Struthio camelus: one gene and its partner. The protein of the gene in region 1 interacts with the protein of each later gene in a biochemical or structural test. Links are inferred from orthologs where the notes say so. Each region holds a gene or a part of one and is shown on either strand. Other genes may lie near its edges.

Region 1 (3,743 bases):
GAGACCAGGCCACAGCTGCCTAGAGAACAGGAGGAGAGATGTGATCACAGCAGCACAGCAGGGGACCTGCTTGAGCAGCACCCTGACACGTCATTTAAGGGCAAGCAGATCTTCAAAAGAGAAAGCCAACGCTGGGATTGTCATAATAATATTCCCCATTGCACCAGATCCTGTTCTCTGAACAGTGTTTCAGAGGGCTGATCCTGCTGGGTACAGCTGCTCTCAGCACCTGGAGGCCGCAGCACACCGAGTCCCTAGAGGACAGGGCTCTTCCTCTCCAGCCCTCGCATTACAAATGCCACAAGACAAAAAGACAGATACCTGCCTAAATGCTGTGTTTCAGGCCACCGTCACTGAGAGAAATTATGCCATGACACACGGGTTTTTGGGTGACGCCAGAGTGAAATCAGCATGCAGACACCCCTCCTCTCCTCACTTTGCGTTTCTGTAACGGGATGCTGCGTACAGCCCCACACGACCCACAGAGCGGCCTCCTTAGCCCGTGCTGCTTACTCGGTTAGTGCCTCCCTAGCCTGCCCCATCTCTCTGCACACTCTCAGCATGTGCTTTTTGCGTAGTCCCTAGTACAGCCGGGACAGTCAATACCTCAGGCAGTTCCTCCATGAACAACAGCCGACGCAAAAGCCCACGCATGCCGGGGGCGATCGGATTTCGTACAGATGTATGAATGCGCACAGAGGTGTCACCTCCCAGCAGCCGTTGGCAGCAGCTCAGTCACCCCACAGCTACTAGGCTGCACTGGGTGTCGCGCAGCTTTGCGGCCAACAAGGCGATAACAGGACCTACCCTTCAGAGGTAGGGCAGCCACGAGATGCAGCGTTATCACAACATCGGTATGAGAGGAAAACAGGCCACAGGGCTGAGATCCTGCCCACATCCTTAAGGGTTCAACATGTAGCACGTTACAGCAGTAAATATTGCAAAAGAAGTACAAATAGGTGGTAACATCCTACAGAGTGACAACACATCTCTGGCATCCCAAAGATCAGCCTTCACCTATGCGCTCTCCAGGCCTTTCCCAAATACAGCACAGCTGTGCTCCTCACACTTACCCCCTCCTTCTCATTTTCCATCAACACTTTCTTCAGTGCTACTTTCTTGCCTGTTTGACGATGTTTTGCTTTGAAAACTTCCCTGTAAAAGCAGAAGGAGATGTATGAGCAGCACAGCAAGAGAAGGAGCCAGGTGCTACCTACCAGGAACGAGACCAAACAAAACACTTTATAGCTTCACAGAGAGAGCTCTGTGCTGAGCCACCATCCAACCCAGCCAGGTGCCCTTCAGGCCAAAAGCCACTAAGACTGGCTGGGACGATGCAGAGCCCAGAGCAAGGGCACACACAGCTCCCACACCCCCCGGGAGAACAGTGGCTAAAGCGTCTCACATCCCCAGCCCAGTGGGAGAACGAGATGAATGTTGCAAGGACATTTTTCAGACTCCAGGCAATAGGAATCTCAGATGTTGTGGTAGAAAAATAAGGTGTGAGGCTGGACTCTCTCAAAAACTGCAGGAGGATGCTCAAAACATCACCACAGCAGAAGGAGGGAAGAGTCTCTGCTCCTCCCTGTCCTGAGCATCTCCAAAACCAACTCTTCTCTGCCACCAGCAGGCCTGGGACAGAGAGGGGACCTGGGGTGGGAGAAGGAGCTGGAGGAAGGGGGTTCAGGGGGGTGCACTGCTTCCCAGGAGCCAGAGAAGGGACAGGGGAAACGACACTCGAGCTAGGAGCACTCAGAGCCCAGGGGCACCTCAGCCGAGAGAGAGCAGGGGAAAGGCCCTGCCACCCAGAGCAATTGGGCTGCAGAGGGGAGCAGAGGCAGCAGCTCTGACCCCAGAACCGGGGAGGGAGGGGGGGAGGCTGCACAGCCCTGCGCGGGGCCAGGGGGAGAAGAATTGGGGGGGGGGGGGGAAGAGATGAGGCCCAGGGTGAGGAGGAGAGCAGGGGACAGGCCGGGAGAAGAGAGCCGGTCCGGGGGGGGGGGGGCTGGTCCCAAGGGGACTAAAGCGCCAGTCCTAACGTGGGGGAGGGGAGGCGAAGAGGCCGGTCCCGGGGGGCGGGGAAGGGGCCGCGGCCGGGACCCGCAGGCCCGAGGCTGACGCCGGCGCGGAGCAGGCGAACAGGCCGCGAAGAGGAAGGCAGGACCCGGCGTCGGAGGGCGGCGGCGCTCACCCGAAGGTGCCCTGCCCGATCTTGGCCAGCTTCTCGTACTTGGACACCTCGTCGCAGAAGGGGCACTCCACCATGTCGTACTGCTTGGCCATGCCGGCCGCCCCGCTCCGCTCCGCTCCCCTCCCGCTTCCGCTTCCGGTCTGCCGGAGGCCACGCCCCTTCCGCCCGCCGCCGCCGCGCGGGCCTCTGGGACTTGTAGTCCGCTGGGGGCGGCCATGTTGGCGGCGAGGCCTAGCAGCCGCCTCCTTCCCTAGAGAGTCACACCCAAGCAGCCCAGCCCTGCCCAGCCCAGCCCACTGCGGGGCTTCTCCCTCACAGCGCTCGGCCGCTTCCCCTCCCATCACGTCTCCCCGAAGACGGGGGCCATGCTGCTGACAAAGTCGCGGGCGCGTGCGGGGCACCCTGGCCCCGGGGGCGGCGGCGGCAGCGGATCGCCCTCGTCCTCCCTGCGGGTGTTTTCCAGCGGGTGGTTTTGCGTCAGCCTGGCCTGACGCGCCGAAGACACCCAGCCGTTGCCTGACGCGCCGAAGACACCCAGCCGTTGCCAGCGTCCTTATCCCTCGCCGAAGGGCCGTCCTTCCCCCCGGCCTCAGCACGCGGCGGGGCTCACGATCCCTCTGCCCGGGGCGATGCCCTGGGTCGGGGGCCGAACACGTTATCCCAGGGTTATTTAAAACGGCTGCCGAAGGCGGAGAGGCGCAACAGGAAGCATCCGGGCCGGACGGCAGCGGAGACGCAGAGATGGCTCCCGGCGTGCCGCGCGGCAGGATCCGCGTGCCGCCTCCTGGAGAGAGGCGGAAAGCCGGGACAAGGCTCCCTGCCAGGCCGGGGGCCGCCCTGCCCTGCGCGGAAAAAGGCTGCGCGTCCCCGGCGGGGGCACCCGAAGGTCCCCCAGGCCGGGGTGGGGGGGGACGGGAACGGGGACTGCCGCTGGCGGCGACGCCGCTGACGCCGGCCACCAGCCGGGGGGGACCGGGCGAGGGCAGGGGCTGCGCTCTGCCCCCGCGGGGCCGGCGTCCTCGCCCGGGGGCTTTTTTGGGCGGCCGCGTGGGGGCCGGGAGCGGGCGACGGCGGGCGGGCGGGCGGGCGGGAGGAAGCGCGGAGCGAGCGCGAGGCGGAGGGGGCAGGAAGGGAGGAGCGGGGCAAGGAAGGGCTTGAAGTTTATAAACTTATCCCTGCCGGTCCCCGCCGCCACCGCCGCCGCCATGGCCGAGAGCCAGAAACGAGGGGGCTTCAAGAAATTCAGTAAGCGGCGGTGGGGAGGAGCGGCGGGGTTGCTCGCCTGGGCGGCCCGGCAGGGGCAGGGGACGCGGGCGAGGACGTGGCTCCCGCGGGCTCTGCTTTCGTTCGGGCTCGGGGTGGGGGTGAGAAGATTTGGGGGATTTCGCCCTCGCCACGGTGGAGGGCGACCCCAAGGGCTGCTCGCCCAGCAACGGGGTGCTGGGACGGGGACCAGCCCGCCACCGGCCAGCCCCGCACCGGGACGCGGTGGGGGCGAGCCGGGCGCCGGTCCCCCATGCCGCCGGGGGTTTTCCCTCTGCAGATCGCGTCT
Region 2 (3,743 bases), on another chromosome or scaffold:
CTTATAAGCTACTGCATGCAATCTCTAAGCAACTGCTACGCTTCTGTACCCAACTACTGAGCTAGCTCTACTACCCTCAGGACATCCTTTCACTATCTGTTCACTTGGACTTTTCTTTTACATGTTCCCAGTAATTACCACTACAGAAAAGTAAAGTTTAGCTAAAAGTTAGCTTCCTAGTATTGACTATTGCTGTGTAAGACACAAGCGTGCTAGGAAGCCACGAACACAACAGTAAAACAATAGCGTGTTCTAAATGTTTCAAAGCAAGCTATTATCAAGTGAATCCATTTTGAAAAAACCCAGTACAAGCACTGCATAAAAAATGGTGCATCCAAGTCCAAAAGTCTACATTTAGCAAAGCTAAATCTAAAATGCTGTTATGCTAATCCCAGCATAATTTTCAGCTGTTTATATTCACCATCTAAAGTCTTCTTGTGCTTGTTTTTTCCCCAGGTGCTTAGTCAACACAATGACACAAGACAATTTGATCAGCCCTTCCACAAAGCACTATCAAGATGAACTTCATCACACATACACTGTTTTAAAACTTTAGTGTGTATTTTTCAGATACTTTTAGTCTGAGTTAGCATTCATGGTACCCTTGTTCTAAAGCAGATATTAAAAGACTGTCCACCTTGCACCAGTGGCAAGAGCTGAATACGAATGTAGTACAAATGGAAAGCCATGGTCTTACCACAGAAAAAAACAGTGCTCTCAGCAGCGAGAGAAAACACGGCTTCTGTCTTCTCTGTATCATCTCATATTACTGACTGCTAAAAATTTCAATGCTTTTTCTTGAACCTCTGAGAATGACTCTGTACACAGATGTTTTGCATATACTCCTGATTTTCAATCAAGAAAGTTTAGGCCTGGCTGCACCCACCCAAGAACCAAGAGAAGGGCAATAAAAGAAAATAACTTGCTGTCATAAAACAGAGGAAGTAGAGGGTTTCAGTGGTTTCCTGTTGAGAAAAAAAATCTGCTTGAAGTGCAGCGTAGCAAGCTATTAGCCCAATTTAACATAGAAATCTGAGAGGCCCTATCTTACTATTAGCCATTTAAGAGTTTAAAATTAAGTTAACCAATATACAATTTTATCAAGACAAAGGCATTGTTAAACGATGGGAAATATCTGGCATTTAACCCCTTGCTCTTTTGAAAATTCAAATCCGATCATCTAGTTTGCATTTGTGAGGCCTTATACATTAAAACATCTATAGTATTAACAGCATCTAGGCTGCCAGCATTACATACATCGTATTTAGTAACTTATGTTTTTCCGATGCAGCACTGATTCCCATTAATATTCTTATTAAGCAGTAAACGATCCCTTCAGTAGCTGAGTTTTGCACAAACTAAACAGTAAACTACCAAACCTGAGAACGATATCTCAATGAATAATACGATAACAAATAGTTTTGTTAGTAAGAGCCGTTTTCAAAGAGTTGTGAAATACATGACGGCTCAGTTCTCTGAAAATAAAGTTCACAGTGAAGTACCGAGTTCTGGAACAATGAAACAGGGAATGATTTCTTTCACCTGCACGCCTCCCCAGCCTCCCCCTTACACCACTGTTTTCCGCATGTTACTCAACATAAAACTGCACAAGATAAACCTTTTCTTGCAAGAAGTTACATGGCTTCAGATCAAACACTTTCAGCAGACTAAGCTTTACAATTCACATCAATCATCATGAAGAGGAAGCAAGGCTTAAACGCAGGCGAAAGCTGCTGTTAAATATCACCTAGCTAACATCTGTAATCACTGGAAGCTATCAAGAATACCACGTTGGCTTCTCCCCCACCCCACCCCCATAGGATCCCGACTGACTGTACATGGTATAATAGCACGTTGCAGTGTAAGGGCCGAGGGAGAGTAACAACTACTACTATGACAGTAACTACAGGAAAGGGTAACAACTACAACTACCTTGGATAAACGAACAGCTTTAATAGGCACAAAACAAGGTCTTTATCCTTTAGCTCAGCACCCGGCAGAGCAAGGAGGGGAGCACAAATCTCGGCTTTTTACGGAAAAAGCACGAAAGCCGCGTTTCAGGGCAGCCTGCCCCAGGCACTCGCGGCGCCGAGCTAGGCACCTGCTGGCCGCCGCCGCCGCCGCGGGGCTCGGCGCTGTCCCCCCGTCCGTCCCCGCCTCCAGCCTCCCCCGCCTCCGGCCCGCCGCCGCGGCCCCCGTGTCCGTCCCGCCCCCCCACGCCGGTCTCGGCGCGGCCCCCGCACTCACCCGGGCGCGATGACCTGTCCGGGCCGCGCGCAGAGCTCCCGCACCACCCCGGGCCGCTCCGCTTTCAGCTTGCGCTCCGGGCCGGCCCGCTGCGGCCGGGTGCTGGCGCCGCTGCCGGCGGGGCCGGCGGTGGGGGGGGCGGCGGCGGCGGGGCCGGCGGGCCGCGGGGCCGGCGGCACGGGGGAGCAGAGCGCCAGCAGCGACCCGATCTGCACGGCCGCCCCCACCGACACCTTCCACTCCAAGAGGCGCAGCGGCCGCGGGCCCGGCGCCCGGATCTCCGTGATCACCCCCGCGGGGCCCTCCGCCGCGGTCCCGCCGCCGCCGCCCCTCTCCGCCGGCGCCTCCATGGTGCCGGCCGCCGAGCGGAGGGAGGGGGGGTCGCTATGGCAACGGCCGCCGCCGCCGGGTCAGTAACGGGGGCCGGGGCGCCGCGCGCTGCCCGGCGGGGGAGGGGGAGGGGCAGAGGGAGGCGGGGGACCCTCAACAGTCGCCAGCGGCGCCGACGGTTGCGGGGTCACGGCCCTGGTACGCAGGCGCAGGCCGCCGCGCGCCCGGCCGGCCTTAAAGGGGCCGCCGCGCGGCACGGCGGGGGACGGGACGGGCCGCGCCGCGGCGCCCGCGGGCGGGGAGGGAAGGGAAACGGCGCGGGAAGGGCGGAGGGAGAGGAAAGGGAGGGGAAAGAATTAGTGAAATAAACAGGCAAAGAAAAGAAAAGAAGAAGAGGACTTTCGCCCACTTCTTCCCGCTCCGGCGAAGGAGAGAGCTCTAAGTCCCTCCCCCGCTTCAAACACATTTCCGGATCCGCGCGCGCCCTCACCTGCCCCAGCGCGTGGGGCAAGCTACGCGGGAGAGGGCGCTCGAACTACGCCCCCCGACATGCAGCGCGCGGCCTACCGGCCCCAGCATGCTCCGCGCACCGGCCAGCGCGCAGAAGCAGGAGGCAGTTGCCGGAAGGGGGGGAGGCCGGGAGAGCACGGTGCATGCTGGGCATTGTAGTCTCCCTCCCGTCAGCGGCCGTTGGCGGGGCGGGAAGCCGGGGGTTGGGGCTGCCGGTCAGGGTGTCGGCCTGGTACAGCGGCCCCGCGGCGGCTCCTCGCCGCTCTTCACCGCGGAGCCGGCCGGGGTGGAGGGAGGGAGGGGAGGGGAAGGGAGGGAAGGGGGCGCGCCTCTGCCCACCATAAGGGTCGCACCCCGCGTGCAAGCGCAGCCGGCCTCTGGCCCGCGGCCCGGTTCCGCATCCTCGGGGCGGCGGCACCGGCACGGAGGCAGCCGGTGGAGGCCGGCAGACCCGAGCTCGGAGTCGTTCAAGTCCAAGCATGTGCTGCCTGCTTCTGAACCGGCAAACCCGGACCGGGATATCCCTTGTGGGGCGGCGCCAGGCGTTTGTCCCAGTTATTTTCCCGGAGCACAGCAGGACTGGCTAGAGCTAAGGGCTGAACTGTCACTACGAGCATGCGGGCAGCTCTCCGTGGAAAGGGTCTGTGGGTGTGCTT

The links.
Region 2: of the proteins of CDK9 (region 1) and CTDP1, one has a biochemical effect on the other in vitro, tested with the Homo sapiens proteins (3 studies listed by BioGRID). The link is inferred for Struthio camelus from reciprocal best matches to the Homo sapiens genes CDK9 and CTDP1.

Annotation. Positions count from the first base shown.
Region 1 is NC_090961.1:7,658,330-7,662,072, reverse strand, and holds the start of CDK9 (cyclin-dependent kinase 9), read right to left. Parts: upstream 2,361-3,743; 5' UTR 2,284-2,360; coding exon 2,192-2,283; intron 1,156-2,191; coding exon 1,074-1,155; intron 1-1,073. Other genes in the region: SH2D3C (SH2 domain-containing protein 3C), read left to right, coding at 3,397-3,436. UniProt on the Homo sapiens protein: Protein kinase involved in the regulation of transcription.
Region 2 is NC_090943.1:93,998,574-94,002,316, reverse strand, and holds the start of CTDP1 (RNA polymerase II subunit A C-terminal domain phosphatase), read right to left. Parts: upstream 2,765-3,743; 5' UTR 2,598-2,764; coding exon 2,248-2,597; intron 1-2,247. UniProt on the Homo sapiens protein: Processively dephosphorylates 'Ser-2' and 'Ser-5' of the heptad repeats YSPTSPS in the C-terminal domain of the largest RNA polymerase II subunit. This promotes the activity of RNA polymerase II.